Caenorhabditis elegans: one gene and its partner. The protein of the gene in region 1 purifies or fractionates together with the protein of each later gene. This does not show direct contact. Each region holds a gene or a part of one and is shown in the gene's direction. Other genes may lie near its edges.

The links.
Region 2: the proteins of mrps-23 (region 1) and bah-1 fractionate together in Caenorhabditis elegans (co-fractionation; one large-scale study listed by BioGRID). This does not show direct contact.

What each region holds. Positions count from the first base shown.
Region 1 is NC_003281.10:9,509,828-9,525,432, reverse strand, and holds mrps-23 (Small ribosomal subunit protein mS23), read left to right. Parts: upstream 1-1,760; 5' UTR 1,761-1,766; coding exon 1,767-1,870; intron 1,871-1,920; coding exon 1,921-2,034; intron 2,035-2,087; coding exon 2,088-2,271; 3' UTR 2,272-2,312; downstream 2,313-15,605. Other genes in the region: prp-40 (WW domain-containing protein ZK1098.1), read right to left, coding at 89-283, 340-1,103, 1,151-1,325, 1,372-1,548, 2,326-2,708, 2,756-2,885, 2,932-3,200, 3,276-3,357; clu-1 (Clustered mitochondria protein homolog), read left to right, coding at 3,973-4,099, 4,145-4,212, 4,258-6,004, 6,056-7,134, 7,243-7,323, 7,452-7,922, 7,971-8,141; F55H2.8 (FIP (Fungus-Induced Protein) Related), read right to left, coding at 10,884-11,033, 11,525-11,542; F55H2.7 (uncharacterized protein), read left to right, coding at 9,186-9,269, 9,315-9,506, 9,557-9,610, 9,900-10,255, 10,308-10,431, 10,572-10,839, 11,794-11,855; F55H2.5 (Putative transmembrane ascorbate-dependent reductase CYB561 homolog), read right to left, coding at 12,648-12,831, 13,342-13,958.
Region 2 is NC_003279.8:11,454,708-11,472,534, forward strand, and holds bah-1 (Glycosyltransferase family 92 protein), read left to right. Parts: upstream 1-10,434; 5' UTR 10,435-10,465; coding exon 10,466-10,626; intron 10,627-10,684; coding exon 10,685-10,922; intron 10,923-11,415; coding exon 11,416-11,994; intron 11,995-12,122; coding exon 12,123-12,329; intron 12,330-12,386; coding exon 12,387-12,469; intron 12,470-12,709; coding exon 12,710-12,827; 3' UTR 12,828-12,905; downstream 12,906-17,827. Other genes in the region: nhr-244 (NR LBD domain-containing protein), read left to right, coding at 73-263, 312-513, 565-639, 690-743; gtnt-53 (Glycosyltransferase family 92 protein), read right to left, coding at 1,800-1,905, 1,956-2,038, 2,090-2,296, 4,133-4,714, 4,810-5,041, 5,091-5,239; ZK1025.3 (Methyltransferase FkbM domain-containing protein), read right to left, coding at 6,357-6,739, 7,654-7,987, 8,046-8,345; ZK1025.8 (sulfotransferase family protein), read left to right, coding at 14,755-14,824, 14,867-14,922, 15,581-15,726, 15,771-15,902, 15,952-16,092, 16,436-16,593, 16,675-16,877.

The sequences.
Region 1 (15,605 bases):
ATTAAAATATATATAATCAAGACATTTCAAAAACGAAAGAGACCGATTTTAAGGAAAAGTTAATACATTTTTATAAGACAAAGCGTAATTAATCAGCTTCTGATTCTCGTCTTTTCCGTTTTTCAGACGAATGACGTGGGGATTCACTCCTGGAGGGACTACGTTTTCGGGATTTTTTCGACTTTTTTCCTCTCTCTTCATCGTCCATTCTGTCTTCCTTTGAATGCTTCTTTTTCTTTTTCTTCTCTTTTTCGCGGATTTCTCCTTCCGACTCCGAGTTATTCTGAAATTAAACGATTTTAATAGGAAATTATTAATCTATTTAGAAAAAACACCTACATCGCTTCTCTTATTCTTCTTCTTTTTATCCTTTTTCTTTTTCTTCTTTTCCAAAATTTCGCTTCCAGCAGTAGTTCCACTTGTTCCGTTTTTATAATGATTAAATGCAGTCTCTCGTTCATCGTCATTCTCCATGGCAAGATAAGCCTTATCTTTTTCAATCTTTGGCTTGATTACAGTCCATTCGGAATCTTTATCGACATTATGCTCTTTCAGTAGATTTCTGAATTCGCTCTCCAGTCTTCTTTTCCTTCTCAGCGACTCTTTTTCCTCATCCTTCGCCTTGCTTTCAGCTTTTTCAATCAGTGAGTTGTAACAAAGTTTCATGTTTCCATGATCAACTTTTCCTCCTTTCTCATGAGAAACAACCCAATCAGAAAATTCCCTGTACTCGGTTGTTGCTATCACCTGACACCCTTTCTCTGTTAAAATTTCTTTAATGAGACGGCGGTCTTCGGTATATTGCTCCTTGAGATCTTCAACAAAAAACTTGAAAAGATCAAGTGGAGACGATCCAGGTTGGAATAGCATAAGTTCAAATCGAGTGTCTGTTGAGATAATAGGAAACAGGGAAGTCCAAAGTGACATGGAAGTGAGTTCTCCCCTCTTATGCAAGCTCTCCAGCAGTAAACGATATTCTTCTCGTACTTTTCGTTGTTGCCTGCGGAGTCGTTTCTCTTCTTGCTCTTTCTCCTCGTCGTGCTCTTTCTCGGCTTGTTTTATATGATCTTCGAAAACTGTGAGCGCATCTTCCTTGTCCATAACTGAAAAACAATTAAATTCGAATTTTATAAGAGTCAAAATATTTTACAATGCAGATCCTTTCTCTCCGCGAACTGAGGATTTTCATATAAAATTCGTTGTGCTTGAGCCCATGTAGTTTTGTAAGTTATTTGCTCCATACTCTGAAGAACGTGACTGAAAGCTGCAATGTCTCGTTTTCTGTCCTCTTCTTTTTTCTCCTTGTCCCTACGAGCCACGAAATCCTGGAAAAATTAACAATAACAATTCTCAAAAGCCTTAGAAACATACAATACAATCTCTAAAAATCTCTTTTCTATCCTCATCATTAACAGCAATCCAAAGTGGCTCCTTGCTGAATATATCGCTGGCTTTTTGGTATTTGAGGCTTTCTTTCATTTTTGGATGCTCTTGCAAGAATTTTTCCAAATCTTCTTTAGACTTTTTGATTGCCAGTCGTTTTTCATCCTGAAATTTAATAAATAATTATAAAAACTTTGCAAGCCGTGACTTTGCAGTCGTAAATATTCACAGAGAATAATCGCCCGCCGAAAACCGCGCCGCCGCCTTGCAAGGGGCGGAGTCGCCCCTCCCACCTTTCCGTGCGCAAATTCTTACTGCGTTTTCCGTTTTTAAAGTTAATTTCTTCTCTCCTTCTGCAAATTTCCAATCATTTTCAGGTCAAAATGGCTTCATTTATCACTCGTGCGGAACGTTCTGGTAATATTTTTTCGCGAGTCACTGGACTCATCCGTGCTGGTCAACTGAACTGGGCAGATCGTCCTTTGTGGTAAATTTTTACTCATTCAAGCGGATATCGTGATATAATTATCATTTCAGGTATGATGTGTACGTTTCATCTCCACCATTAACACCGCCAGATTGGAATGTAAAATTAGCAAAGTACGACGAACCAATTCGCTCTATTTTCTACGAGGAAGATGTTCTCAGAGCGTAAGTTTTGGTTATTTCAGGCGCTGACTATTTAAATTGTTTTCTCTATTCAGAAAGTTCTACAAGACATACAGAAGTACGGCTGGTATTCAAGTGGATAGCTCAAGAACAAGCGTCTCTCAGCAGTTCATCAACGAATATAAACTAGTCAAATCAGAAAATGCAGAGGCAACAGATGATCAGTTGTTCGAGATGACACAAAAACGTCTCAACGAGAATGGAATCGTTTTGAAATAAATGCTAAGTTATAGTTTGTAGTTGTTCATAAATTTGTTTTTCGTTTCAACTTACTCTTTCTTCTTTTCCTCTTTGAACTTTCCAAGCGTTAAATAATTGTTTCTTTTCTGAGACTTTGTTCAGAATTCTGAAACGAGGATCATTCTGGATCCATTTTACAGCCTGATCCCAATTGCAATTCGTTGTTATCTTTCCGTCATTATATTTGTCACGGAGCAGTTCACGGAATCGTTCTGACTGCCGTTTCTTCAATTCAACTTCATCGTTCACAGATTCTTCTTCTTTCTTTTCAGACGGAAGAGGTACATTTGGCATTGATGCGAGGGTAGCCTTCATGGCTTTGTCTAGATCGGATTCCGCCTTCTTTTGCTGAACAGCCGCTGCCAATGCGACAGTGTCCACAGTTGCAGCCTTTGCTGCTGGCTTCTGTTCTCCTTCTGAAATAAATAATTCAAATTGAAAGATTCTCTAGATAAAATCTTACTTGTAATTTCCTCTCCATCTGGTTTAACCCATTGCGTTTTCTTTGTAAGGGTATTATAATAATATGGTTTTCCGTCATCACTCATGAATTCTTTCCATTGACCTTGTTGTGGCTGTCCGCTAGTACTTCTCTGAAATCAGACTTCAAGAGCGCTGTAAACTATATTTTTCACTTACCTCGAGTGGAGTTTTTAAGACGTCTGGTTTTATCCATGACGTTTGTTTCGTTACACGATTATGATAATAAGGTGTACCCTTTTCATTCGTATGCACACTCCAATCAGATTCGACAGATGGGGATGAGTGGGATTCGTCTATGCCCATTCCAGGAGGTACCAGCATTGGTGAAGGCCTCGTCGGAGCTGCAACGTGCGGAGCAACTACAGAGTGGGTGGGCATTTGGAGGAGCGGAACTTGAGCGATAGATCCAACTGGTGGCATGCCAACTGAAAATGTTTGCATTAATATTAAATTATTTTATTAATTAATTGGCCAATTTTACAAATTTATGAAAAACTTGCATCTTTGGTTCAGGAGAACTTGTTGAATGTTAGCAGCCGCTACTAAATTGGGATTAAGAAATGAAAATCCATTGGGAAGCATTCTGAAAATTACTTGATTAAAAAGTGAAAACGAAAGAAACACCAAGGAAAATGTAGCATAAACAAAATTTGTGGAAAAATCGAAGAAAACTGAAACGCTGCGTGCCCCCTTTCGATGCAATCTATCGTCGGAAAATACGGTGGGGCGCACTTGCTTGCACCAGAAAAGCGCAATGAACGAGGATCGCGCCAACGTGATGATTGACGCATTCCTGGAGCAAAATTTTTACAATACACTTTGTTCCCAATTTCTCGTTTCCTATTGCATCAGATGTTTTTAATTTTTGATTCAGTGTCGGAAAATTAGAAAATGAGTATAAAAATAGGTGTTAATGATATTGCTTTCTGATATTTGTTCTCTGCTGCGCTCGTAAGTGCGATAGCATAGGATTTTTGTATATAATATCCTTTCCTTCTCCAAATCTGTAGTTTTTTTTAGTTCTTCTGCAACTTTCTCGGTACAAGTCTTCATGGCTGTTCCATTATCTATCCATTCGTTAATTGTGCTGTGCTCGCACAATTTTTCGAATTCCATGATTTGCGTCATAAATCCTTCATCGTTTAATATTTCGCTAATATAATTATGAAGATGAACTGATATTTAAATATTTTACAGATGACTTTGGGTTCCGAAACGAAAACTGATGTCGAAGTGCCGATCATCAATGGGAAGCACGAAATTCCTCAAGAGGAAAACGACTCAGGTCACTCGTCGATAAACACTCCAGACTCATCAGAACCAGGTGAGAAAAATCTAAAATTAGTTTTTTTTTATCCTTGAGTTTCAGATAAGCAAGTCGACAAGTTCGTGAAGATCACTATTCAACCATCTTGTGGAGACGCTTTCGAGCTACATGTCAGTTTTTTCTTTCCTGATTTTAGAATCCAGACATTTTTTCAGCTCAGCGACAATGAGTTGGTTCAAGAACTATACCAGACGCTGCTAGACCGTGAAGCTACTTGTCATAGAACTTGTTTCTCCTTGTATTTGAACGGAACAGCCGTAGACAACTACTCTGAAGTCCGTGCTATTCCGGGATTCGTTGATGGGTGCACCTTGAACGTGGTCGATGAGCCATACACCATTCGTGATGCTCGTCTCCACCTCCGCCAAGTCCGTGAATTACTCAAATTTGGACTTACTGAAGATCAGCACGAGCCCCCGTGTACCAATGATGCTCAATCATATTTGACAACAATCAATTTGCAACCAGAAGAAAAGAAAGAACCAAAACCTTCCGATATTCTTCCACCAGATCATGCTCTTCCAGGATGCAAAGAACGCTCCCTTGCTCATCTGCTTGTTCCACAACCAAAAGAGCTCATTGCCCTTAAAGATATCGCATTCTCTCCGTACAACCCTCCACCAGGACCTCGAAAGCTCAGAGGAGATGTCTTGTACATCGACATCACAACAGTTGAAAATCGCATCTACCATGTCACCTGTTGCACTAGAGGTTTTTATGTGAACAACTCACAAGATGGACGGTTCGATCCGACAGTATCGAATTCCAATAAGACTGTCTACCAAAGCGTCATTGAACTACTTCAAAATGTCAGTCCAGGATTCAAGAAAGTATATCCTCAAATTTTGAAGCGGCGTCAAGAAAAGACACTCGTTGAGCGACTTCCAACCAGTTACCCAGTTTCTTCATGGGTTGGAAATCCATTGAAAACTGATGGGTACATGAGTGACTCATTGAGAGCCATTGAATTGACAGAGCCGTTCCGGGTTGGATTTGAAGATCATATGCCAGGACTCCTTCGTGATTGGAATGAAGAGCTTCAGACTACTTTCGAGATGACCCGTAAATCCATTTCTGAGCGAGTAATCCGTGATCGAAGTTATTACAAAATTCATGCTGATTACGTAAATGCTGCTGCGAGAGGTGTTCAATCTATTCTTGATGGAAATATATTGGCTATAAACCCAGGAGAGGACAAGAAAACTCATATGTACATTTGGAACAATATCTTCTTCAGTCTCGGATTTGACGTCAGAGATCATTATAAGGAGCTTGGAGGAGACGCTGCTGCTTTTGCTGCTACATCGACCGATCTTCAAGGAGTGCGGGCATTTGCAACTCTTGATGATCCAAAACTCAACACTCTAGGAATGGCAATTTTCGATTATCGAGGATATCGTGTGACTGCACAATCCATCATACCAGGAATTTTGGAACGCGAGCAAGAACAATCTGTTGTGTATGGATCGATAGACTTTGGAAAAACTGTCGTCTCTGATGAAAAGTATCACGAACTGCTCGAGGATGCTGCTCACAAACTGAAAATGCTGCCTCACACCGTTATCAGCGAGAAAGACGGAGTTAAGGAAGAGTTGAAGCTTTATACAAGCTACGAAGCTAAGGGAATAATTGGAAACGATGGTAGAAAATACGTTTTGGACCTTCTTCGTTCAATGCCTCCAGATGTTCATTATCTCGATGACGCAGAGGTCTCTGAGGCCGCTAAAACACTGGGATATCCACGAAAATTCCCGCACAAGCTTTCGGCTCTCCGCCGTGAACTAATTGATGCGTTCTGTGAGTCTAGATTGGTCACTTTCATCCAGTTAACTGCAAAGAAGATCCGTGATCTGATTACCGAGTCAAAAGAGAAAAATGATGAAACTTTGATTAAGCAAGCAGGTAATCATTTCGTACAAAACTTTTCTTAATCAAATTATTTTTATTTTTCAGCCGAAGCAGAAACTGAACTATCACTACTCTTTATGGCCATCAGCGAAGATAAGGAGTTTGAAGCCAAAAACAAAGTCGTTCAAGATGCTATCAAGGAAGCTTGTGCAGTTGTTCATTCTATTTATGAAGATCGCTATGTTATGAAGTTCAATCCGGATTGTTTCTCATCAAATGTCAAACATGCACCAACAGAGAACCTTGAACGACAACGCCGTGTTGTTGTGGATGCCGCAGATTTCCTCCTTACCCAGAAGATTCCAGAGCTTGTTCAGAACTTGAAAGATTGCGTTGTGCAACCAATTGATGGAGATAATCTTGCTGACATTATGCACATCAATGGTATCAATATTCGCTATTTAGGAGAAATTGGAAAACGTCTTGAAAACAGCGTCTCATTTGCTCGTCCACTTGTTCTTTCGGATATCGTTGCTAGATCTGCAAAGCATGTCATCCGCAAGATCAATGTTCAAATTACTGCTGATCAACTCTCCGCAAGTACATCTCACATTCTCAACTGCCTATTCTCTGTAGTTTTGGATCCAAGCCCTATTGCTGCGAACGTTGCGAAGAAAGCCAATAAGAAGAACGGCAAGAAACGAGTTACATCTGCCTGGTCTTCGTTAACCACATCAGCACTTTGGAATAGTATCCGTGAAGATTCTGCCAGCTATTATGGATACCCGATTGAGGCCGACTCCCTTGAAAAGTTCACCGAATTGCATGATATCCAAAAAACTGCTCTTTTCCGCCGCATTTGCAAAGTCATGGGAGTTCAGCTCGTAGCAAGAGATTACCAATTGGATAACTCTACTGCAAAGAAAACATCAATTTTCGTTGAAGATGACATCATCAACTTCTTCCCAATCATCAAGCATCATGAACCATTCACTGCTGATGCTAAGAAAATGTTCATTCGTGGACAACAAGCGATGTCTATTGGTGCCTCCCGAGAAGCTTACGAGTGTATTGGCGAATCACTAAATCTCATGACACTTGTCTATGGTGTAATGCATCCAGATATGCCACAATGTTTGAGAGCTCTTGCAAGATTGTCCCACGTTCTTGGAGAAACTGGAGATGTAAGTGTCTTATCATTAGTTATTTTGGTTTTTAAAACAATTTAGCCGCATGAACACTGAATACATTGGAAATTGTAATATATAAAACCAATGCCGTATAATTTTCAGGCTTTGAACAACCAGCATAAGGCAGCGGTCATGAGCGAACGGTTGATTGGATTGGATGCAGGAAATACCATTATTGAATATGTAAGTACTATTAATAAAAAATCATCTGCATTAAATATGTTTTATCATCTTTGTTTTTCGATAAACTTGAAGAACAATGAGAACAAAATAAAGGGAATTTTTCTGCAATGACATTGAACATTTTTCAGATCAATTTGGCCCATTTCGCATTTGGAGCACTTCTCATTCCTGGATCTCTTCGTCCATTGTACCGTGCGAGATATCTCATGAATCTCGTATTTGGAGAGAAACATCCTGTAATGGCTCAAATTGATGCCAACATTGGACTCATTTTGTTCACTGTTCAAGAGTTCGACACAGCTTTGAAGTACTTGCAATCGGCTGATGCTATCACAAAAACTATTGGAGAACCGAGAAAGCTGAAGACTGGATTGATTTCCAATTTGATTGCCCGAACACATGCGGCTCGTGGAGATTTCCGAGCTGCTCTAGTTGCTGAAAAGGAAACATTCGCTATTTATTCCGAACTCTATGGACCAAATCACCCAAGAGTCAACGAATCGAGTGAATATCTTCGCACGCTTACTCAACAAGCTGTTACATTCCAAAAGAAAATGTTGAAACTTGACAATAGTACAAACATTACTGAATTGTTCCAGGTAATATTAAATTTTCACAATAGCAAAAAAATCGCAATATTTTTATAGGCTCAACCTCCAACAGTTACCTCTCTATTTGATACCTTAAACATCATCAACGGAATACTGATCATTGGTGTTCCTGGATTGTCTTCTCTCGGAAAACAGCAAAATGGGACGACTGAAGAGAGCAAGACTACAGATGTTGCTGCTCAGCTTGACAATGAGACTCTCGATTAGAATTGATTAGATATCACCCAATTTTTTGGAAGTTGTTTATCAAATTTCAAAAAATTTAGAATTACTTGTTCGTTGATTATTTTAGTTTTTAATAGTGTATAGCATATAGATCAGTTTTTGTTTCTTTTTGTTTTGTTTTTTTAGGTGTAGATATCAGTTTAGTAAATAACTTTTTTTTTGTTAGAAAACCGTGACCGCATTTTCGTTGCTTTTTTGAAATAATTATATGAGATAATTGCACCGTTTCTTTCTCTGATAACCAAAAACATTTGCTCAATTCCAAAAATCAGCCTGAAATTTTCAAATTTGCTCAGGAGCATTTCCCTCATTTCCCACAACTTAATCAATCACATGTTCCCGTTTTCATTGTCTTCTCCATCTATCTGTAACCCATTTCCTTCATACATGTTATGACTGTCGTTCTGACACGAGTGTCCATCGAAAAACTAATCATTTAAAAAATATACATCTCTGATAATCCGAGTACACTCCATCTTTTGTTACACTGATGCGTTTGTTCTCCTCGTTACCTGTTTTTTTGCCTTAGGATTCAAAGCCTTGTAGTTTAGTATGAATTTTCGTTTTTTTTTAAATTTTCCAATCAACTGTTATAAAATGTTTATTGTTTTGTTCTTTCTCCAATAATAAAATCTGAAAATCTATTTTTTGTTTCAGTTCTAAAATTTTCAGAAAACTTAAAGTTTCATTCTTTAAATATTTTGAAATATCTTGTGAACAAAAATATGAATTTGTTAATCAAGAGTATCGCTTTTTCCAATTTGTCAGAAAAAAAATATATAACTTCCATTATTTAAGAAAAAAAGTTGCAAAAACTGAAAATTGTGTCCATTTTATTTTTTTAGCAGTAGAAAATTATATTTTCTTGTTTTTGCATTTTTTTTGTTAAATGTTTTAAACCATAAAAAATTTTATCCGATTTTGTTCATGTTGATGAACAAAAAAATTATAAAAATGTAATTGTCCTCTAAAAATGAGAGACTTTAAAGCTTTTTCTCTCTTATAATTAAATTTGTTTTTCATAGAATGGCGAGTGATTGGAGACGACAATCAACGAGTAGAGGAATTCCGAATGAGGGACAAAATGATGAAAAAGGAAAACCGCTCATTGTGAGAGAATATTTAAAGTAAAAAAAACAAAATTATGAATTTCAGGGAAGATCATTTCTGCTCGAAATTGAAAATCGTATTCTACGAACAAACGTGGCAGAAGGATTACATATTTCTGGTGCTACAATAATTGATTCATTTGATGATGCTTCCCCACAATGTGTCATCTCCGATCACCCGATGGCTCAAAAATTAGAAAAAGCAAAGAAAGATGACCCTCTTTTTAAAAATGAAAAGGTACACTTTTACTGGTAAAATTAAAAATAAATAAATTAATCAAATTTCAGATGCTCAAAATAATGCCCGCACTTCTTCGACAAGCAGTGAACAGAAATATTAAAGTAAGAAAATCGCCAAAAAACCCAAAAAAATTAAAAATTTGGTTGACAAATTTGAAAATTACTGTTCTTTCAGAAATTAACAGCAAAAAATTATATAAATTAAGTGGGCAAACAAATTTCTCAAAAAAATGGAATAAGACAAGTTGTTTGATGAGACATATTGGAAATAACGCTTTTTTTCAAAAAAAAAAAATCATAAAATAAAATGTTCAATTTTTAGCAACTAAAAAACTAAATTTTGAAATTTTTCGACTTCCCCCTAATTCTTTAAATTTTCCAATATTTTCAGGTCAGAACACCGGAAAGATTTTTAAATCAAATGAATACATGGCTGGATCGCCAAGGAAAAACGACATCAGCAACTACATCAAATAGTACAATTCGTGGAAAACCATCATTCGGCCGGGAGAATAGTGCAAAAATTGAACGAACGACTCCGAGACTTGTGCCAAGAATGCCACGTGTCAGCAGTGATCAGACGTCGAGTCGGCCGAAGGAAGAACGATGTTTTCTAAGAATTGATGTTCCTGGAAAAAGACCAGAAATTCGGAATGTCTCGAAAGAATCATTTTCAATTGTTTATTCTGGAAGAGACACAGGATTTTCAATTTTTAAAGCAGCAGAATCGTCACTTGTGGAAAGAAGGTATTTAGTAAATTGTTTTTCTTCTATTTATATGTAAATGCAATTATTTCAGGCAACGAGAATACGATTCATTTTTGAAGGGAAAATATGAGCCATCTAAGAAGACTTTCAAATTTGATGAACGAGATAATTATTGTCAGTTCTGCCAAAAAACGATTCTTGGAGACAGGAAAGATGTAAGAATAGAGAAATTCGAAATTTTGAGGAGATTTTATAAAATCGAAATATTCAGAAATTCAGAAATTCCACAAGAGAGAAAAAAAACAAAAAATCGTGAATTTATAGAAAATTGAACATTTAAAACTTGATTTTTCAGCACGAAAGAACCGATGAACATCGCAATAAGGCTCGAACTCAAGGAATTACTCAAACAATGGAAAGAATTGTTTTGAATGCTCGATTACGAGCCGAACGTCAGGAAGCGGCTTTGAAAAGAAATCAAAGAAAATCACGAGAAAGTGTGATGTTTGTAGAAAAGTCGAAACGAGCAAATGTCGAGTACGAATATGGAGAAAATGAAATTAAAGCGAATTGGCTTATGCTGAAAGCAAATACAGTGGAAAAGACGACTGAGAAAACATCGAGTAAGATTATTTTATTTTCTTGAAGAAAAATTGCTACAATTGATTCAATTAGGGTAATAATGGCAAACTCCGTGATAACAAATATGATCAAAATCTTTACGAGGTTTGCATTGTGAAGGAACTTTACATCCTTTTCCAGTACTTTGTGCCATTATTTCATTGATAAAGAGCATTGAAATAAGAACAACCAACATCTGAAATTGATTTAATAATAAGAACTATTTTTTATAGATTAAGGCTAATGTTTTTTAACTCAAAATTACCAGAAAAAAATCGGATTTCATAACGAAACTTGAAAAATTTCTCAAAAATTTTTATTGCGTTCAAAATTTCGAAAATATGTTAATTTTAGCTAAAATTCCGGATTTTCTTTTTTTGTGTTACAATGGCCGGGAATTTTTTTATACATTTATTATTGTTCTATTTGCACATTTTTCGATTTTTAGTTCCTTTCGGTATAATTAAATCCGAAAGGTATTCAAATTTAAAAATTCTAAATTAACAAAAATATTGTGAGACATTTAAAAAAAATTAAATTAAAAAAAAAACCTAAATTCCGGCTGCTGCGACACGGAAAGATTGTCCAAAATTGATGTTTTAGCTAGAATTAGGACGTTTTTTTTTTCGAAATTTTAAATTAACCTTTTGGGGTCACCTTTAGGTAAAATAATTTTTTTAAACTTACGAAAGATACAATTCTCATTATTGCCAAGTTGAAGTTTTCAAGTGAATAATTTGAAAATATTGAACATTTCCTCTGAATTTATACCATCCATAATCACATGTTTTATGTCTTAGGCGCACTGAAAAACATGAAATAAATCATAAGGAACTTCCTCATTCTCTCAGTCAACCTTTAGTTAATTGAATAAATTGGCCTTAATTCGAGTGTTTGTTTTGATATATATGTTTTGAATAACTAAAAGTAAAAGATACAAAGATCACAAATTCCAGTTCTTTCTCCACGTCGACGACAGAAAAGAATGCGGTCACTTTCAAGTCAAGGAGACATTTAATTTGTCATATAACATTCTCATTATTACTATTCGATCTCTTAAAATGTGTATTATCTCACTACAATATGTAACTGTATATTTGTATCAATTCTAGTACTGGTTATTCGTTTATTTCTCCCCGATTTTATAATACTTATTTATTTTACGGTTATTTAACTTTCAGCCCAATTTTTTGTTTCATTTGCATTTTAACTTCGGTTTTAACAGGTGCATAAATATTTATTTCTGAATTTATATAGGCTCGATGCATTCAGATAGAAATTTGATTAGGCAATTAGTGAACATGGAGAGATGAGATCGTAAAATTGTAGAAATAAATAAATACGGGGGATATGGGACAACGGGGCAAGGATAGGCGACAATTCTACAAAAATTACTTATTGCGCCATGTTTTTCCAACATTATCTAAAAAAAACAATAATTTCTGCTAAAAAGTTACCAAAAAGGGCCTGAAAATTCTCGATTGCGGATTACCGAATTAACGAGTTTTGTTTTCCGGCAATTGGCAACTTTTAGGCCATTTTTTATCAGTTTTTAGATGAAATTATTGTAAATTCCAGATAAATCATGTGATTCTCTATAGTGCGACACAAATTTTTGATGAAAATGTTGGAACAACATGGTGCAATAGGTAATTTTGTAGAATCGCCACCCATTCCTGGTCACTGGGAGCAAGGGTGTCGTCGAAAAATTTTCGATTTTCCGAAAACAAAATGTTCAAAAAACTAAACAGACATTAAAAAATTATTCGAAAAAATGAAAATTTTAGATTTTTCGACACCCAGAAGACAATTAATCAGACATGGAATGACTGGAAGTCAAATGATGAAGTCCTTCTTCTTCAGGAAGTGATTGACGCTTCCAACGTGGATTCAATACAAGAAGGAGAACACAGACAGTGTATAGGAAAGTGAAGACTCCGACGAATGAAGATGTTGCTTGTTGAGCACACATTTGACCTTCTTTAGTCCAGCAACTGAAAAAATAATTTATTTAAATATATTAACTTTTAGATCTTGGAATTACTTGTTTTTTGGTGAAAAAATAACGCTTTTTTCAAAAAAAGTGAGCGTTTTCGTAGAAAAAGTTTTTTGTTTCAGATTAAGCTGAATCATTATAACTGAATTCCAACCCTGAATCCAAAAAAAAGTCAATTTTTCCAGCGATTTTTTTGATATAAATTTTCTTCTTTTTTCTCGAAATTTTACGATTTTTGCGCTAAAAAATACGGTATCCGGTCTCGACACGACAATTGTTCGTCAAATGCAAAAATTTATGTGACTTCTTGTTGCGGAATTTACATCGATTTTTCACAGTAAAATCACATTAAGTTTGCCGGTTTGCCGTGAAAAAAAATTCTGCAGGGTTTGAGATTACAGTACTCTTTAAAGGCCCACGGCCTTTTCGTATTAATAAATTTGTCGTGTCGAGACCGGCAAAAAAATCGAAAATTTTAGCGTCTCCGTAATAATAACATAAATCTTACGTATGCTTCCATGCTGCTCTTTCCGAAATTCCCATGGCTACAGTAATCGAGACAAAAATGAAGATGAGCACACCGAACATTTGATGGAATGGCATAACGAGTTGACGAATCGGAATTGGCATTCCCGGGAAGAAGTAGGTGATGAATCCGACGATGTATTGTGCAAAGTAGAGAATGACAACGGATAGGCCAATCCATGAATGTAAAGAAACCAAATTGACAATTGGTGCTGGATTTCCAGATGGATCCTTGTGAAGGTTATGGTAGTCAAAAACTGCTTTAAGTGCCATAAGCATGAAGACAAGAACACACGAATGAAGAATAACATGAAGAGTTTTACTGAATTTCTTTCTTTCATTACGGAATACACGATAAACGAGAAGAGCCTCTCCAAAAAGGAAAACCATTCCCATAATCATAAAAGTCGGATGATAGTTGAATTCCTTATCAGGATCCTCATTCCATGCGAATCCACTTTCAAACTTGCTCATCCAAATGGTAACCAGAAGAACGGCGAGCCCTCCGAATACTTGAGACATAACGAGAATTATGTTGAAGAGTTTCACACTTTGGTCCTCCCGAAGGATAACAAACCCCGGATCGAAGAGGAGCGACATGTCTCCTGAAATTAATTTTCAATTTTTAAAATTTTTCTTGAGTATTTATGTACACGAAGTTTTACGCATGATTTTAAGATTAAAAATAATATAATTGGGTCAAAACTGAGATTATTCAAAGATCACAATTATTGCCAATAACATTCAAAACGGGTAAAGCCAATTTTGATTATCACGAGGTGGCAACTCTATCCCGAAGGCTTCGGCCGAAGCAATATGAACGAATGAGAGAAGAAATGAACACGAACGAGAGACTCCTAACCGTCTGTGTCTCCCGAATCTGTCAAGAGAGTCGCGCGCCTAAAATCAATTCTTTGTTGTTTTTGTGTTTTTGACAGGAACATGAAATCCGAAACAATACAATTTTAAAGTAAAGAAAATAAAAGGGCATTAAAAACTTTTCTTTATCTAAAGGGAAATTATCTTTACAAGTTCTAATATGCCAAGATATCATGGTAAAACCTTTCAAAACAATTTTTTAATTTTTGACAAAAAGTGGCCAAGTTAATAATTTTGTAAGTCGACCAAAAATTTCAAAATTTTCCCGAAATGTGGGATTTTTGAATAATTTCGAGGATTACTGTAGAACCCCTTTAAACTTTAATTACATAAAATTGAAACTCAATTAAAAAATAAATAAAATTGTAACAATTAATTTGCGTTTCAATCAGCTCGTAATCAAACATTCTACGGGTTCGAATCTCATTTTTTGAAAATGTGGCAATTTACCAAAACTTTGAAAAAAAATGTTTTTTTTGGGTTGTGCTCGTTACTTTTACTCGCTCAGTGTTGTGCTCATTACCCAAATGAGAGTTTTTGGAACCAAAACAAAGATACTTGAAATCAGAAAATTCAGCTATACGAATTTGAAATTTCTAAATTTAGATTTAGGCTCACAATTTCAATTAAATAAGAAAGTGATATTTAGGTTTCTATGAACTGTTCAAACAAGTTTTCTATTTTTTTTGAGAAATAAAACTTATCAAAAATTGTAAGAAACTATTATAGCTCACTTTTCAGCAAATTATATGTAACGTGGAGCGAGATGCTCAATGAGCAAGAGCCACATTTAAAAACGTCAGTCAAATGCCTGAAAGAGTGAGAGAAACCGACGAAAAGAGGCAGAAGTGTAGAAGAGAAAAAGAGAAAAAGAGGAAGGGAAACCGAAATGGGATATGTCATTGAAGGGCCAAAAAGAAGGATGAGAATGAGTAGAAGAAGAGCACAAACAGAGTGAGTGAAGAGGATTAATGGATTATAAAAAAATAAATTAAGAAATTTATGAAACTTTTTGAAAATTAAAAAATTGAAAATTTTTTAAGTGGTATTTAATTAATCTTAATTAAGAATCCGCCCCATATCTAAGTGCACTAATACAAATTCAGAATTTCAAGAAGATGACATTACATAGAAACCCATATCGAAATTTAGAGAATAGGCAAGGAAAATGTTCTGCCGAACAAATTGTGAATAGAAGGGCTCTTCACACGAATAACGAGCCTCTCCGTCTCTCACACTTTAATTTTCGTATCTTCAATATTTTAGACCACACGACACCACTCAAACCACTTTCCAAAAACGCAATTATAAATGGCTCTTCTCTTGCTCACAGTGTCACTTTCAGTCGACGACGACATAATTCAATAA
Region 2 (17,827 bases), on another chromosome or scaffold:
GCCTAAACCCCGCAGCAAATATTACCTTGGGCGGTTTTTTATATTTTCCACGTGAGTTCTATCACCGACCTAATGATTGTCTCCGCTCATCACGAGGGATCTTCCACAGAATCCTGCCTTAACTGCCCTGGAGTTGATATGCTAGACAAGGAAGATGTGGAGGTTCTGATGAAGTACTTCAAGTTCTCCAATACCTGGATTGATTCGATATTTGCTAGCTTGATATCTCCCAATCAAGTGGAGCTTATCCAGTGCGATCATGAGTAAGTAATTGCTGTGACTACTGCCAAATTTACCGTATAACTTTATAGGGACATTGCCAAATTCATCAATCATTCCAAATCAACCTTAGGATTCAGCCTAAGCCATCTTAATCTGAACATCATCGAGTACTCAGTCTTCAAGTCCTTCTGTATCTGGAAGCTTGTGTATCATGAGACAAGCATCGCAATGAAGATTATGGCTCAAGAGCATTTTGAGGGTGTTACCAGTGCTCTCCGGAAGTATTACAGGGTAAGGGGAACCTATTATTTTCTGCTGAAGTCCTGTTGTGCCTGTTTTCAGAAGGAATCCAAAATGAACGACTTGGAAGTGGCAACCCGAATCGGGGATATCACATTGCAAATTATCACTGTCTCGGTATAAAAAAGGCTAATGATTAATTAATTAGTTAAATATATTGCTTCCAGAACCTCTACAACGACATGATCCGGCTATATCATCAAATTGGAGTTGAATTTTAATATACTAATTTAATATAATGTATTGGGAGTGGTTTTTCTAAATTCTGATTATTTATATTTTCAACTATTCATATAAACTTTATTATTTCGAATCGTGTTGCAAATTGCAAGTAGACACGTCCTTAAAGTGTCCTCAACGCCAACAGATCTCTTTCCGATAGGCAGCGCCGGTGCAATCTCTGACCTGACTGAGGTCTTTTGTCTCAATATTCTATTACATTGCATTGGAAACGTATTAAACTGAACGGGGTTTTTATACATATATCGGTACACAAATTGCCAGATGCAGTAGGTCGAGTTAAATTGAGGAAGGTTTTTTCCTTCAACTTTGACAGCTAATTCCACATCTTGCTTTGATTTGTCAAAGAAATTTCCATAAACATAATATAAGTCATAACTTTTCCTAGCGTTTTGTAGTAGTACACAATTTTGATATCTTCAGAATGAGCTGAGATATGGGTTATTAAAGTTATGTGGGCAGTTTTTGGTTGATGCACCATGTTTGGCTCACTCTCAATAGTTTTAAAATGGTTTGATAAATTTAGGAGGAACCAATGTATAAGATGTTAAAATTATTCGGGGTCATATCAATGCACCATGCCAAAAAATATATCCAAAACCCCGATGCACCGTGTCCAAAAGTATATATAAAAGTGCGATGCACCATGTTCAAAAATATATTCAAAAATATGATGCTCCATGTTCAAAAATACGATGCACCATGTCAAAAAGTATATCTTGAAGTATGATGCACCATGTCTAAAAATATATTATGAAGACTACTGTAGAATTACCGTAATTGAAAACTTGCAAACTTTGTGCTTTGCCCTACCCGATACCATCTTTAGACTCAGTGTCTAGAAGTACCTGCCGCAGAAGATCCGAAACTAGAGATAGTTTTGTACTGGAAAATATGTATGTACTTCCTTTTTGGGATGACAAATGCGTAATCATCTAAGCGGATCTACAACGTCTAGGACAGGACAGTTTTCGGGTTGTTTTTGAAACAAACTAGAAATAGAAACTAATTTATTTTTGAATTCAAAGGGGCTTTAGTTATTCACCAGTTATAAATAATCCCTGAGTCTTATCGTAAACCCAACTAGTGACATTATCCATTTCAGCTTTGCACAGGTTACCGGTACTATGACACACATTTGGTCTGGAAAAAAAGACATTTAATGAAGTTCCTGGTAGTTCAAAAAAAGTTACGTTGCTTTTGCTATGCATAAGTTCATGGTTAGAATGGGAGTGTAGGAAAATATTGGCGGGGTGGCTCCGAAGATTTTGTGCATCTGAAAAACTGGCTAAACATGAAAAAAAAGGAAGTTCCAGACAGTCCGAACCGTATCATGCATATTCCAAATGTGACCTTCTGTGCTGTTCGGGAAAAATCTATATGGTTTTTCCACAACGTTAGCTTTAATTTCCTTAATATTAAATCGAAAATGTAGTACTGTTCCATTGGAAAACAGTGTAGTTGTTGAGTTGTGCAGGAATTTTCCGGGTGAGTGAGTTTCGCAGATATCTATGAGAGATGTGTTGAAGATGTACTGGAAGTAGGATTTTATCTGTTTCAGAAATGCCAAAAGTCTGCAAAAGCTTTAAACTTAAGCTTGGCGTCAGAGGCGAGCGTTAGCTCGCCACTGACGCTATTTAGGATTAGGCTTAGGTTCAGTCTTTGGATTAGGATTAAGCCTAGGCTTACGCTTAGATCCAGGATTTGGCTTAGGTTTAGGCTTAAGCTTAGGCTTAGGCTTAGGCTTAGGCTTAGACTTAAGCTTGGCGTCAGTGGCAAGCGTAAGCTCGCTACTGACGCTATTTAGGCTTATTATGCTTAGGCTTAGGCTTAGGCTGAGGCTTAGGTTTAGGCTTGGGCTTAGGCTTATGCTTGGGATAAGGCTTAGACTTAGGCTTAAGCTAGGCTTAGGCTTAGGTTTTATGCTCATTCTTAGGCTTAGGCTTGGACATAGGCTTAGGCTTAGGCTTAGGCTTAGGCTCCTTTTCTTACAGTCAAAATTAAGTTTCAACAAAAATACCAAAATTTTCGTGGTGGGACCCTAACAATTCGAAATTTCGTAAATCTTCCAGTTATGCAGAGCTGTTCAACCGTGAAGTAATGAAAAAGGCATACATTTTAAGAAAAATTGCAAAAAAAAATTGCAATTTGAAAAAAAACAACTTATAGGACTTCGTGTTGGGACTCTATAATTTACGAAATTCCGTCAAATTATAAGCTTATGGACTGGGTTTTGCCTTGTAAGTAGATTTATTACACCAAAAAATGATACTATAAAATACAATTTGAATTAAAATTCTGGATCCAGAAAATTGTTTTTTTTTTCAATTTTTAAAAAATAATTTCAAATATTGTTGGCTAAGAATTAGGCTTAGGCTTAGACTTAAGCTTAGGTTTAGGCTAGGTACTATTACTTAGGGGTGGCTATAGGTCGACATAGGTCGATCTGCGACCTAGCGACCTAGGTCGCATTGCGACCTGAATTACCGACATTTTGTTCTCTTTCGGTTTTGATTCACTTGAGTTGTTAAAATCCGTATAACTCGAAAACTAAAGATTGCAGAATATGTATATTCCACTAACATTTTCTCTATTAAGATTTTACAAGTTTATGCGTTGTTTCTAAAATTTAATTTTTCACTTTTCGAATTAAAAACGTAGAAAAAAGCACAGAACAAAGCTGTTGTGGACGGAACGTAAACCTGAGCTTTATACAGACGTGACCTTTGGGTCATCATGAACTTATCGCGTAAGCGACCTCTCTTTATTATTCATTACTTCTTACACCTATTGTAATAAACGACTTCTCTCCTTGTCTCTCGCTCAATACACAACAAAAGCATTGATTTCTACAAATTCTACAATTCTACAAAAAAAAAATTGAAATTTAGAAAGTTAAAACATGACGGGGGGAACGAAACCCATAAGTACCATATTTTTCAAGTTGAAACAATTTTAGTCAGCAGCAAAACCGGCGGATGTCGGCTGTTCTAACTTTTTTCGACAAGGTGTCTTATGGATAAGAAATCGAAAACAATGTAAAATAAATGATTTGTAGCAATTTGTTAGTATACATATTCTGCAATCTTATGTAGTTTTCGAGTTATACAGATTTTAACAACTCAAGTGAAGGTCACAAAGCGACCCAGGTCGCTAGGTCGCAGGTCGCTAGGTCGCACTCTTGCCACCCCTACAACTACTTAAAATTTCCGGCATGTCGGATTAATGCCGAAAGAAATTTTCCGCCAGATCGGCAAATTTGCCGGAATTGAAAATTTTCGGTGACTGGGCAAACCGGCAATATGATGGAATTAAAAATTTCGACAAACCGGCAAACCGGCAAATTGTCGGAAATAAAAAAAATGCTTACCTTGGGTGGCGCAAAAATATTAATGAACGTTAGAGTCTTCATTCCAGAAAAGTCATTCGTATAAATATTTGGCTCCAATCCGACATGAGTGTTCTCAAATAACAATGCTCCAATATTCTTCCCAGCCATCACCAGCTCCGCATATTCCAGCACACTACCATCCCCTGGAACCATGACCTCATCGAAATCGGCGACAATGCCCAGCTCCGTCCGAATTTCTAGAGAGCAAACTTGCAGAGCAATATGGGATGCGATAATGAATACACTGTCATCTATCTTCGGGTGATAAGGTGCAATATATGAAGAGAGGGCTCCTACATTTGGCCAAGGTCGTAGCTCAATGAGCCCAAGCTTTTCATAGTAGTCCAGAACTTTTTTGGTGTCTTGTGTGGCTGAATGAAAGTAGACTATAAATCGAGTTGCTCCCTGAGCCCGCCAAGCTTCGATGTATAAGATTACGTTTTGCCATTGAGAATAGTAATAGACGATTTGTAGGCATACAGTGAGGCCTTTTTCATATGATTTTCCAATTTCAACGATTTCGGAGAGGAAAGCTTCTCGGTGGCCCAACTGGATGGATACCTGAAAATTAAGTATAAAAAATGGTTGGGGTCTGGGGTCTGGCGTCTCGGATCTGGGATATGGGCTCTGACCTGGGATCTGGTCTCGGGGATTACCTTCTGAACTACTCCATTTTCTGGAAGCACCCCATAAAAATGGTGCGGAACATAGAAGCAATTCCTTGCGGGACCATATACCGGTGGGCAATTTCCTTCGTAAAATCCAAAGGAATATCCGTTAAGCTTCAATTTTGTAATCGTTCCGTTATAATATACATGTACTAGTAAGTAGTTACTTGCCTTGATACAAGGGTTCAAGCTAAATATTCTTAGACGGGGTGGACTGGTTCTGGAATTAAGTTACCAAAAAATTGTCAGAAAATTTTTTTTAAAAAAACCTGTAATCCACATAAACCTTGTGATAAAATGTGATGGGAAATGATGCATTTATTTGGTTTTTTAATAAGCTCTGATTCTGAAACCTTGGGTAAACGTAGAATATAGTGAAATACAAGCAAACAGGCAAGAAATCGAAGGAAAACTTCATTTTTCATGCTTCTTGTTTCATTGAAAGCCGTATTTCTGCGTTCTTATCTGATCTTTATTCGTAGGGAGAAACGGATGTTCCGATAATTAGAACAAGCATTTTTGAATTTGTATTGTTCATAGAAAAAAAATGTTTCAAGCAGAATCTTCAATTGAAAATTAAAGTTCGGTGATTACATAAGATGGCCCCTAAAACCGAATTTCGTGGTTTAAAATTTTTCAAAAAATTTCAAAGTTCTGGAAAAAAGAACAAATTTTGAGCGGAACTCATCTCAAATTTCACGGACGCTTTTTTGCCGATTTAGGTACATATTTCCAAATTTATTGAGCCGAGTTTCTGTATATTTTCAAAGTCTTTTCTGTATATTTTCAGAGACTTGCACCAGGCGTGGGCGGAAACAAATTTTACCAGCAAATCGGCCAATCGGCAAATTGCCGGAATTGAAATTTCCTACAAGCCGGAAAGTTGCCGGAATTAAATTTTCCGGCAAATCGGGAAACCGGCAAGTTGCCGGAATTGAAAAATTCTGGCATTCCGGAATAATGCCGAAATAAATTTTTCCGGCAGATCGGCAAAATTGCCGGAATTGAAAATTTCGACAAACCGGCAAATCGGCAAACTGCCGGAATTGAAAATTTCCGGCAAATTGGCAAATTGCCAGAATTGGAAATTTCCCTGCAAATCGGCAAATTGCCGGAATTGAAATTTTCGGCAAATCGGCAAGTTGCCGGAAATGGGAATTTCCGGAAATTCGACAAATTGCAGGAATTGAAATTTTCGACAAACAGGCAAGTTGCCAGAATTATAATTTCCGGCATGTCGGAATAACGCCGAAAAAAAAATTTCCGGTAGATCGGCACGATTGCCGGAATTGAAAATTTTCGGTGAATGGGCAAACCGGCAATATGCTGCAATTAAAAATTTCGACAAACCGGCAAACCGGCAAATTGCCGGAAATGAAAAATTCCGGTTGAAAAATCTGAAAATTATCTGAAAATTTAAAATGTACTGCGAGAAATATCATAATTTAAAAAAATGTATTTTGAGAAAAAAAAGAAAAATGCCATTATACAGAATTCAACAGCTACCCAGAAAATAATTATTAACAAAAACTAAATCACTCTAACAATGGATTCCTACACTCCTCATCTCCAACATTAATCATAAAAGTTCGAATAAATGGATCAGCATAGTAAGACCTCAACATAATATATCTTCTATCTTCAAGAACTCTCCACACAAAATCATGAAACATCTGCTTTTCGCCAATTGGTTGCTCGAATACTCCACTGTGAACTTCAATATTCATCTGACAAATTGTGACACCTGCATTGTCAATTGCTCCATTTCTATGAAGTTGCTCCATTATCGGAAACTCATTCTGCTCGACATCAATCCATAGAATATCGATCAGACTTTTGTTGAGGATGTACTTGAAGAAGTAGTCAACTGCGATGTGCTCGGTGGTCTCGGTTCTGTAAGCCAGCTCTTCTTTTTGCTCTGAAAAAAGCTAGATAAATATTTTATTTTTTTGATATTTTGGTTTTCTATTTTTGTCTAGTTATAACGATTTTTTTCCGGCAATTCGGCGAATTGCCGGAATTGAAAATTTTCGGCAAATTGGTAAACCGGCAAAGTGCTGATATGTAGAATTTGCCGAGAAACGGTAAATCGGCAAATTGCCGGAATTTAAATTACCGGAAATTCGGCAAATCGCCGGAATTGAACATTTTCGGCAAGTTGGAAAATTGCCGGAATTGAAATTTCCGGAAATCAGCAAATTGCCGGAATTGAAAATTTCCGGAAATTCGGCAAATCGCCGGAATTGAAAATTTCCGGCAAATTGGAAAATTGCCGGAATTCAAATTTTCCGGCAAATTGGAAAATTGTCGGAATTGAAAATTTCCGGCAAATCGGCAAACCGAGAAAGTGCAAATTTGCGAATTTGCGGAAAAACGGCAGATTGCCGTACATTTTCGGCAAATTGTGGTTTTTCACTTTTTTTTGGAAATTTAAGAATTTCAATTTTTTCAAAAGGTCACAGTTTTAAGTCCTTCTGTCTTGTAAGAAATCCCTCTAAAAAATTCCGGCAAAATGATATCCGGCAAATCGGTAAACCGGCAACTTGGCAAATCGGCAAATTGCCAAATTTGCAGAAAAAAACGGCAATTGGTGAAAATTTTCCGTCAATTGTGGTTTTGCACATTTTTTTTTGGAAAATTCAGAATTTCAATTTTAGTCGGCAAAATTGTACGCATCCTATGAATGTTTCTACAGACAAATCGGCAAACCCGAAAATTGCCGGAATTGAAATTTCCGGCAAATCGGCAAAAGTTTTTTTGCCGGAAATTGCTAGTACTCAAGCTAATTTACAGGTGCTCAAGCTAATTAACAAAAAAGCACACAAAAAATACCTGTATAAATACTTGATTTCTGCACTCCGGTCTCTCCACTAACTGCGTATCGGTAGTACTTTCCTCCCAGCTTATCTTCATAGAGGATCTTATTCACTTCGGGAGATGGATCGGCTCCATAGAATTGAGTATTCGGATGAAGCTCCTTCAAACTGATCTCTCCCATAATATCGTGTCCGATACCAAGTGTGACCATTGTGAGAAGTTGGCTCTGATTCCGAGGAAGAGCTATGTACTTTGTCTCGTCTTTGTTGTACACGTGACGGATGTCCAGCGCATTGTAGGCTTTGAGATTGTCGCATTCCTCAGTTAGACTGGAGAACTCGTCGAAGAACTGAAATTTTTGAAGGTTTTTGGACGATTCTAACCTAGTTTTCTTGAAAGGAACTTACCTCAACATATTTCCCTTTGAGCGGTCTCAACTTCGGGTAGACGCAGTTATAATAAGCATCAAAAAGCGGAGAGGACTTGTACGACGTTAAATTTCTCGCAGTGTCATGTCTAACCGGCGGTGGAGCCCATTTGAACACATTAAGTTCATTTTCCTCCTTTAGCGGCTTCTTGTCATTATAGTTGGAATAGAGCATAAATACCACAAATACCAAAGCGCCGAACAAAATCAATCGGGGTAGACTACGCATTGGAAGTCGTTCGGTTAGCCGAAGCTTATCAAATCGGGAGTACGGAAGCATGACAGCGGAGTGATGTAAAATTTCGGTCCAGAAAGCGCTTTTAAGCCAGCAAGGTGCAGAGATATCATCGGTACATAGATCTACGGATAGAGAATCCGAGGCGAGGGGAAACCGGAATCCAGTGGATTTTTGGTGTTCCGATGGATAGCTTTGTCTTTTCACCATATTTTCAGAAATACGAATGCTATGATTCAAGAAAGCACCCGCTCGGAAGCTCCTGAAATGCCGTGTCCTTTGTAAAAAACCCAAAAAGTTTAGTTAAACCGTTGTACACGAATTGACGAACCTTAACTGGGGAGTACAGAGCCTAAGCTTAAGCCCAAGCCTGAGCCTAAGCCTACACCTAAGTCTAAGCCTAAGCCTAATACTAAGCCAAAGCCAACGCCAAAGCCAAAGCCAAATCCAAAGCCTAAGCCTAATCCTAAGCCGGCCTAAGCCTGAGCTTCAAGGATCGGACTATTGGTTACAGTCCTCTTTTCAGACAAGATCCATATGATTTGAAAGTTGGTCAGTGCTCTGAATTTTTTGTAGTGGCCTATACTGCCACAGGCCTAAATAATAACCTGCCACATTCCTTTCCCAAAATTCATTTCCCCATTTCCAGAATCAGAATACATTTCCCACCGAATCCACACAAAATGCTGCCACGCACCTCGATTGTGTCGGCAGATATCTACAAAAGCCGGTCGTAAAGCTGAGTCTTCTTGTGCTAGATCAGAAGCTGGATATGGGGGGAATAATTCGGGAAAGTGAGATGAAAATCAAAAAGACTTGAATTTGCAAATCTCCACGGTGGAACAAAGGGAATTAATGTCTTCAGCTCTACAAATAAATCTGTGTAATCTGTCCTGTATTAATCTAGAATAGAGCATGAGGAGCGATTTTCAAAATTTCCTGCAATCGGCATGCGGTGTCAGGTTGTCCCATAGCTTCATTGCACACAAAAATGGGGAAAAAATATATTTGAGTTTTTGTGACGTCACAGCTGTGAACTTTTCAATTATTCTCGCCAGTGGGGAAATTGTTAAAAACCACACCCTTGGTCCAAAAATGATCAAACATCATGATAAAACTTTTTAAAAATTTTTTGAAAATTTTTTATTTACTGGCAAAAAGTGACAGTTACTCACTATCAGTTTTTGCCACTCATAATTTTGGAAGTATTTTGGAACCAAAAAAAAAAACTTTCGCCTTTTTTCGTTTTAATTTTGTTTAAAATATTTGTATTAAAGGTGGAGTAGCGCAATTGGGGAAATGATTTTTCCATATTTTCTGATTGAGACGTGAACTTTTTTTCATTCTCAGGCTTAGGGAAATGATTTTCTAAGCCTTGTAAAAATGAAAACAGTATTAAAATAAACATTCACGTGTGGATTAAAATTAAAAAGGTAGTGTTAAATAATTAAAAATCATTTTGGGGGAACGAAACCCATAAGTACCTGGGGATTTTGTCTAAATCTTTATAATGATCCAAAACAACCGAATATCATAATAAAACACTCCAAAAAGTTTTAGATTTTTCATAATTTCCGGTCAAAGTTTTGGAAAATTGCCAAAATTTTGAAAAATACAAGCTTTTGAATAAATTTAAAGAAATGTCGCATGTTTCGACCCCTACAATGTTTTAATACAAATAATTTTAACAAAATTAAAACATAAAAAATGTCGAAAAAATTTTTTTGGTCGGCTTCCAAATTTATGAGTGGCAAAAACTGAGTAATTGCCACTTTTTGACAGTAAATAAAAAGTTTTCAAAAAAGTTTTTTCATTTTGGGACCATTAGTTTTTAAAAATTTTCCCACTGGCGCTACTCCATCTTTAACAAAATTTCTTGTTTACACGCAAATGTAGTTTGATGTTTAAATCTGAATATAGCAATACTTTATGACCCAGTACATAAAAACTCGTTCTAAGTAATTTCAGCCCAATTGAAAGTGGCAGAATCAAAAAATTGACTTTCTCACTCAGAAACTCGATTACACCGATGCCATCGCACCCGACAAAATTCGGATTATCCGTTCTTCGGAGACTTCACGGTAAAAGATGAGATAAGAATGCCTATATTTGAATGTCTGAATATAAAAGCATTCTCGCGAGCGGCTTGCTGTTTCAATTTCGAAATGACTCGATTCAAATACAAATACCTTTTCTATTCTCTAATTCCTATATTTTTGTACTTACTGGTTTTTCATCCAGTGATAACATTTCTAAGTTCGAGAGGCCAACCAATCAACTCTTCGTTTCCAATAACCTTCTACCACAAGGCATATATTGATTACAGGTAGGTTAACATTAATATCATTTTCCAAATGTTTGTGAAAAAATCAATAAACTTCCAGAACCAACCCTCCCCGTCTCCGGCTGTTCAGTCTAAACCCATGCGTTAAACCGAATACCTATCTACTAATTGATGTGTACAACAGAGGAAGTCCCATTCCGAATGAAGTAAAACTCTTGGGAGATCCTTTTGGGTTCTTCAATGAAAATTGTCCACCGGTTTATGGTCCTGCCACGCATTGTTTCTACGTTCCACACACTTTTTATGGGGTGCTTCCAGACAATGGAATAATTGAGAAGGTATGTAATTAATTGAGCAACTCCCACTAATTTTGTGCCGGTGCCGGCAGCCGAAAAATCGATGAAGTAGTTCATGTGCATGGCCAAAATTATTCCTTATTGGGCTGTATTTTGTTTTAAAAAAACGTTGAAATTATCTTTTATTGCCATCAATAATGGGACTCTTTCTATATACATAATTCCAATTTCCAGTTCCTCAAATTTGTCTAAAATTTCTCAAAAGTTATGTCATTTTAGCTGCTCTAATTTTTTCCGGAATATAGTTATATTATATTGACACTGATGAAAATGTAGAAAATGCAATGGACAACATTTTGTTTGTTGAAAATATTTTTCTAGCTATCATAGTTTTTGAGTTAAACGTGTTTGGAAACCTTAAACAAATGGCCTTACTATTAGGCTTAGGCTCAGGCTTAGGCTTAGGCTTAGGCAAAGGTTAGGGATAAGGATAAAGCCTATGACCCTCAGATAGTTGACCTATTTATTTTTTCAGGCTACCATACGATGGGAAGACCGAGAAATAGAATTTGCCATTGAGGAAATCGGGAAAAAATACGAGCGAGGCCTCACTGTATGCCTACAAATCGTCTATTACTATTCTCAATGGCAAAACGTAATCTTATACATTGAAGCCTGGCGGGCTCAGGGAGCAACTCGTTTTATAGTTTTTTATCATTCATCCACAGAAGACACCAAAAAAGTTCTGGACTACTATGAAAAACTGGGGCTTATTGAGCTACGACCCTGGCCCAACATTGGCGAGCTCTCTTCAAATATTTCCCCGATGTACCCAAAAGTTGATGAAAGTGTGTTTATTATTGCAACTCATATGGCTCTTCAAATATGTTCTCTGGAAATTAAGACGTCTTTGGGTATTGTTGCGGATTTCGATGAGGTTATGGTACCCGATAAGGGTACTGTACTTGATCATGCGATGAAGGAAATGACCGGGAAGGATATTGGAGCATTGTTGTTTGAAAATACACATGTTGCACTGACGCCTAATATTTATACGAATAACTACTCAGGAGTGAGGTCACTGACGTTCACCGATATTTTCGCACCGCCCAAGGTAATATTTGCTGCGGGGTTTAGGCTTAGGCATAAGTTCAGGCTAAAGCTTAGGCTTAGGTTTAGGCTTAAGCTGAGGCTTAGGCCTAGGTCTAGGAAAATTTAAAACTTCAATCCTACACATTTCAGTACATCTTCAACACCTCTCTTATTGATATCTGTGAAACCCATTCCCCAGGAAAGTTCCTTCATAAGTCCACCTACACAAAAATGGCAAATGGCACTGTTCTACACTTTCGGTTCAATGTGAAGCAAATCCGAGCGAAAATTGTTCGAAAGTCTTATCGATTTTTCCCAAATGACACAGCTGGGCATATTAGGAATATGCATGATACGGTAGGCGTTGGGAGTCAGAGGAAAAAATATCAATAGAAAAAAAAAAGAGATTTTCAGATGAACAAGATTTTCGAAAATTCACCACCTGCATTTTCGTACAAGCCAATTGAGACTTTGAATAAGTGCATAGCCAAAGTCAAGTAAGGATTTGTTAATAAAAAATTCACGGTCACAGGAGTGGAAATAGTTTCTAATAGGTTTTGATCTACCAAACTCTAAAGTTGCGGAAAATAGAAGCGCTGAAGTATTTTCTGAAAGTTCGCCGTGAGCTTAGTTTTAGAGCCTCGCAGCTTAAAATTCATGAAAAATCGTTTCAAACCATGGGCTATCGAATGAAATAGTTAGGTCATAAATTTGTACAAGCTCGGCAAAGTTTTCAGATCCGACGTATGCCATAGCACTGGTGGAATCTGCAAAGCTGCGATGGATAATGTCACCAATTGGGTATACAACACGACTGAAGGATTGTTCACAACGGGTACACGTATCATCGTCTAATCTATGTATCTCATATTTTTGCTAGAGAAGTATTTTAGTTTTGTTTTTGAAATAAAAATAAAAATTCACATTTGTCAATTTATTGTTAGTCTTTATTTTCAGGAGTGTAAAGTTTTTCCAGCTAATTTGAATGAATTGAGTTGAGAAGTAGGGTTCCAATTAGGGCTGTACAAATCGGCGTCCGGTCGTCCGATTTTGACACCACCGGACGCACTGCGTCCGGTTTTGGGGTAGGTTTCCACGGCGGCCGACAATTTCCGAGTTTCGCCACCCACTATACTTAATCAGCAATTTTATAGTGAGAGGCGAAACTCGGAAATTGTCGGCCGTCGTGGATAGCTACCCCCAACCGGAAGCATGTGCGTCCGGTTCGGACGACCGGACGTCCGGTTGTTTAGCCCTAGTTCCAATGAAGTCGCCGCAACGGCGTCACCCCAAACGCGGAACCCCGAACGTGTCGGCCGCTTCCAAAAAACTACCTTTTGCACTACGTTGCGCACACACAGCGGTTTTGAATAACTTGTATTGTTTGAATAAAGTAAAAACATATGTACCTAAAAAATATTGATAAATTCCTTCCGGAACTTGATTTCTAGAGGTTTGAAGTTTTTTGTCTGTAAATAGTGATGGTTCGGAATTATTCAAATAGTTTTATCAAAGTTTCAATTTGGCGAACAACCACGTTTTCGATTCAATCCGACGGACTTCGTGTCGGAATTTACTTTAATCGCGGAAATGATCTCCGTTTCTTAGGTGAAATATCTCAAAGGCACTTCTTTGTGTGGGTTCGTATCCTAGTTTGAAAAATTGATAATTTAGCTGAAAGGGATGGGAATTCGGAACTCGTGTGTATTTTTCTTGCGCAAGATAAGCTTTTGTTGAAATTTTTTACCCGCCAAGAAAAAAATAAAATTATTCGAGAACTTTTTCTATGAAATTCTTTTTTTTGGAATCAGTTTTGTATTACAGCGAAAAAAAAGCGCCAAAAACTCTACTCCCTAACAGGGCTGTGCGGCAACCGGGATTTTCGGCAACCGGCAATTGCCGAATTTGCCGAACCCAGAAATTTTCGGCAACCGGCAACTTTCGATTGCCGAAATTTCGGCAACTTTTCGGCAACCGGCAACCAAGTTTTAAAGTTGTTTTTTTAAAATTATATTTTTGAGCGTTTTGGCAAAAAATAATGGTCGTTTTCTCGTTTACGGCGAAATATTAGCATGCCGAAGTTGCGGAAAAAAGTTCGGCAATTGTCGAAGTTGCCGAACCCAAAATTTCCGGCAACCGGCAATTGCCGAAGCTGACGATTCCGAAAAAATTTCGGCAACCGGCAACTCGGATGTCGGTTGCCGCACAGCCCTGCTCCCTATCTAAAGGAGAAAAGTCAATGCACCATGTTTTGATAAGTTAAGGCACTTTGTGCCTACCTAGCAGGCAAATGAGTTTGCCCCAAATTTTTGAAAATCCGAAATTTCATATTCCAGCAAAATTATAGTTTCTCTGAAAATAGGTATAAATCTCGCCAGGCTTTCTTTCTAGAAAACAATTACCTGAATGAAAATACTTTCTATCGTAGAATAAAGGATCTTCAACGGATTTATTTGTTCATACTTATTTTGAGATGAAATCATCTTTATCTTGATTGTTTCTAAAACAAAGAAGCATGTCAGTGAGGCCAATAATTCCCATTAAAGCTCTCTACTTTTAAAGCTCAGCTGTGAAGTCACTCTAAAGTTTCTCTACAGACAAGGAAAACGTTCAAATTCATTTTAGATCTCCGTTTCTCTTCTTTCAAAAAGGTGTCCAGATTAAAATCAAATTCAAGTCCTGTCGCTCGAAAATCCGGTTTGGGATATTCTGTGCCCTTATAAACAAAGGTTTCCAAGATCATTTGCTTCTTTTTTTCCGGAAGAAAATGCAAAAATCAACAATGAAAATATTGATGATAGTTTCTGTTCTGATAATTTTATATTTTGTCTTAAAGCCTAAAAGCCTAAAAGGTTTGTTATTGATTATTTTCAACCAAATACTAAAAGTTTTAGGGTTCAACCCCGATGGTTTCATAAAGCCGTTTATCAGCTATGCACCCAGTTTTTTCGTGAGTTGTTGTTCAGCCTGCCTACTGCCTACTTTTTGAGCATTCCGTTAAAGCTTGAGAGCCAAAATGAAAATCGTTTCAAATCAATTTAGGAAAGTTTTCAAATTTCGCATAAGACCTGTGTTATTTATTTGGTTTTTCTAAGCTTAAGCTTAAGCCTAACAAGGAAAGGAGGTCAATCTAGTCCCGGACTTTAAATCGATACGTATTTCATTTGAAAGCTTATGTTTAGACTAGATCACCACAAAAATTTCAGCGGCGGAACTCAACTCTGAACCCTTGAAATCGCCATTTGAAAGTGCTCCAGTGAATTTTTTCGCTGATTTCTATGTCAAGTAAATGGCCTGAAAAGGGGTTCTGAGAGATTAGAAATAGTTTTTTGGGGTTTTTAGGGTCTAACAAACAATGTGGAAGCTTTTTGGAAATCCCACGGAAATCCCAATGCCCATGTTTAAGCCTCAGCTTAAGATTCAGCCTAAGCCTAAGCCTAAGCCTAAACCCAAGCCAAAGCCTAAGCCTAAGCCTAAACCTAAGCATGTGCCTAAGCCTAAACCTAAGCCTAAGCCTAAGCGTAAGCCTAAGCCCAAGCCAAAGCCTAAGCCTTAACTTAACCTTAAGCAGGGGCCAGGCACGCAATCTTGCTTAAACTATAATTCAGACGGCTCCGGACAACAAGCTTATTGCCTGCGAAATCCGGAAGTCTATGTCTCAGCTGACGCTCAACATGATGTGCCTCTTGTACAACGAAACGCAGTACCTACAGGATAAAAACAATTTCACGAATACTTGGGAGACAAGTACTAGGTAGGTAGTGTGCAGGAACTCAATGCCTCACCTTTTTTTTCCAGGAAATGCACTAGTGAGACAAACTTTGTGACTCCATCCGATTCATTGAAGAACGATAAGGACGCAGTGCGATTTGTGTTCGTGCGGGATCCGTTTCGCCGTTTTGTGTCGATGTACTTGAACAAATGTGTCGTGTTAGTTGCAAATTCTGAAATAGTCAAAGTTCAAACTGATAATTTTAAGTGAAAAACGGTGTTTCGACTGTGAAACCGATATGCGGTGTATCGCGAAGAAAACCTACGAGTCATTCGTCGAGATTCAGAATAATGAGACTAAAGCTGCGGGAATTGAGTATGTTGAGGCACATGCTGCTCCAACGACTTGGTGAGTGAGATCTTATTGTGGCACGGCTAAGTATATCAGTAGAAATTTTTCGACCAGATTATTGTTCTGTAAAGTTTCTTTAAAAAGTACTCAATCCAATACTCCGGCGATGTTTACGGCTTAGGCTTTGGCTTAGGCTTAGGCTTAGGCTTAGGCTTAGGCTTAGGCTTAGGCTTAGGCTTAGGCTTAGGCTTAGGCTTAGGCTTAGGCTTAGGCCAAGGTTTAGGCTTGGGCTAAGTCTAAGGTTTGTGTTCAGCCACAAGCTTAGGCTAAGTCTTAAATTCAGAAAAACCAAATAATGAGTTTTGGATTGAGCACTATTTTAAGATTTTATTTTTTCTAGGAACTGTAAATTCAACGAGGGAGTTGAGAACTGGGAGCTGCTGCCTATGGACTCGGACCTCAAAGATCGGATTTCGTCGGCTGCTAAATTAGCAGATATCTTAAGAAAGCAAGGCGTCCGTGACACTTTAGTTGAGCAAATTTATAAAGACATTTTGAGTAGGTTCTTTTTTATTCTAATACTTTATTCTAATAATTTATTCTAATAATTTTTTAAAAAATTTTCTAAAAATTTTGCAGCTACCGAGACTGCTCACTCTACTCACAAATGGACCAAACGTCTGGAAGCTGAAAAGCAAGTTCGAGAAGATCCGATTGTTCGTGAATACCTGCACAAAATCTACCTCTACGATTATCTTCTTTTCCCGTTTGACAGAAGCGTTTTAGACCCGGAATATCGGGATATTAACTCAATTTCTTATTTGAAAAAATTCTCCAAATGAACCTTGTAACTTTGAACCTTTTTGTGATAATTTTTCTGGAATCTAATTCTCCGTCAGGCTTTTTAATTCAAAATTTTAAAATTTAGCTACAAAATACATTGATTGAGTGGCGATAAAAAGAGAAATGTGTGCGAGCAACTTTTCGGGAGAGATTAAAATTGAAGATTACCCGAAAATTTAGGACAAATTGTCTGGGAAATTTTAGAAAAAAAGGTGGCTTTTTGACCTCCGATGTGTGTTGTTTCTAACTTTGATTTGAACACCGTATCTTGTAGGCAGGCAGGCAGGCATTATTACTCATATGGAATATGGAGAGATATCGTTTCAGAAAATTTTCAATTTTTATTTTTTCTATTTCAAAAAGATCAGACGGGCATCGATACAAAAAGAAATGAAGAAACACATATAATGAAGCTTTCAAAATACATTACTATATCTTGTGAAGCTTGGAAAAGGGTTTTGATATTTTTTCAACAAAATGATATAATTTTTGGCTAACAGTTTGCATGTGTAAAAGTACTGTTTTAACTGAAAAACGCAAATTTTACTCAAATTTTTTGAAATTCTCAGTAGCAATCGTAGATTTTTATGTTATTTTTTAAATGGAAAACATTAAAATTAATTTATTTTACAAAGTTTCTTCAAAATTGAAGTTTTTTTTTCAGAAAATCTCTCATCTTTCACCACTCCCCTTTCCCCACTCTGCTCAGCTTTTCCGATCACTTCTTATCACGAGGTCTACGCGAAATTCAGGTGCTTTTTGACGAATTCTGAAAAGTCTCATTTTTCTTGGCTAAAGTTTCATTTGGAAAATGTTTTTATATAGAATATTGAATCAAACTTTTTAGCTCCATGACCTTTGCTCGTGGATTCTGGGAAAGCTTTCCGGCATTTACCTGCAGCTTCAACAAGACTTGAGCAAGAAGCTGCCGATCCTACAAGTTTGAATG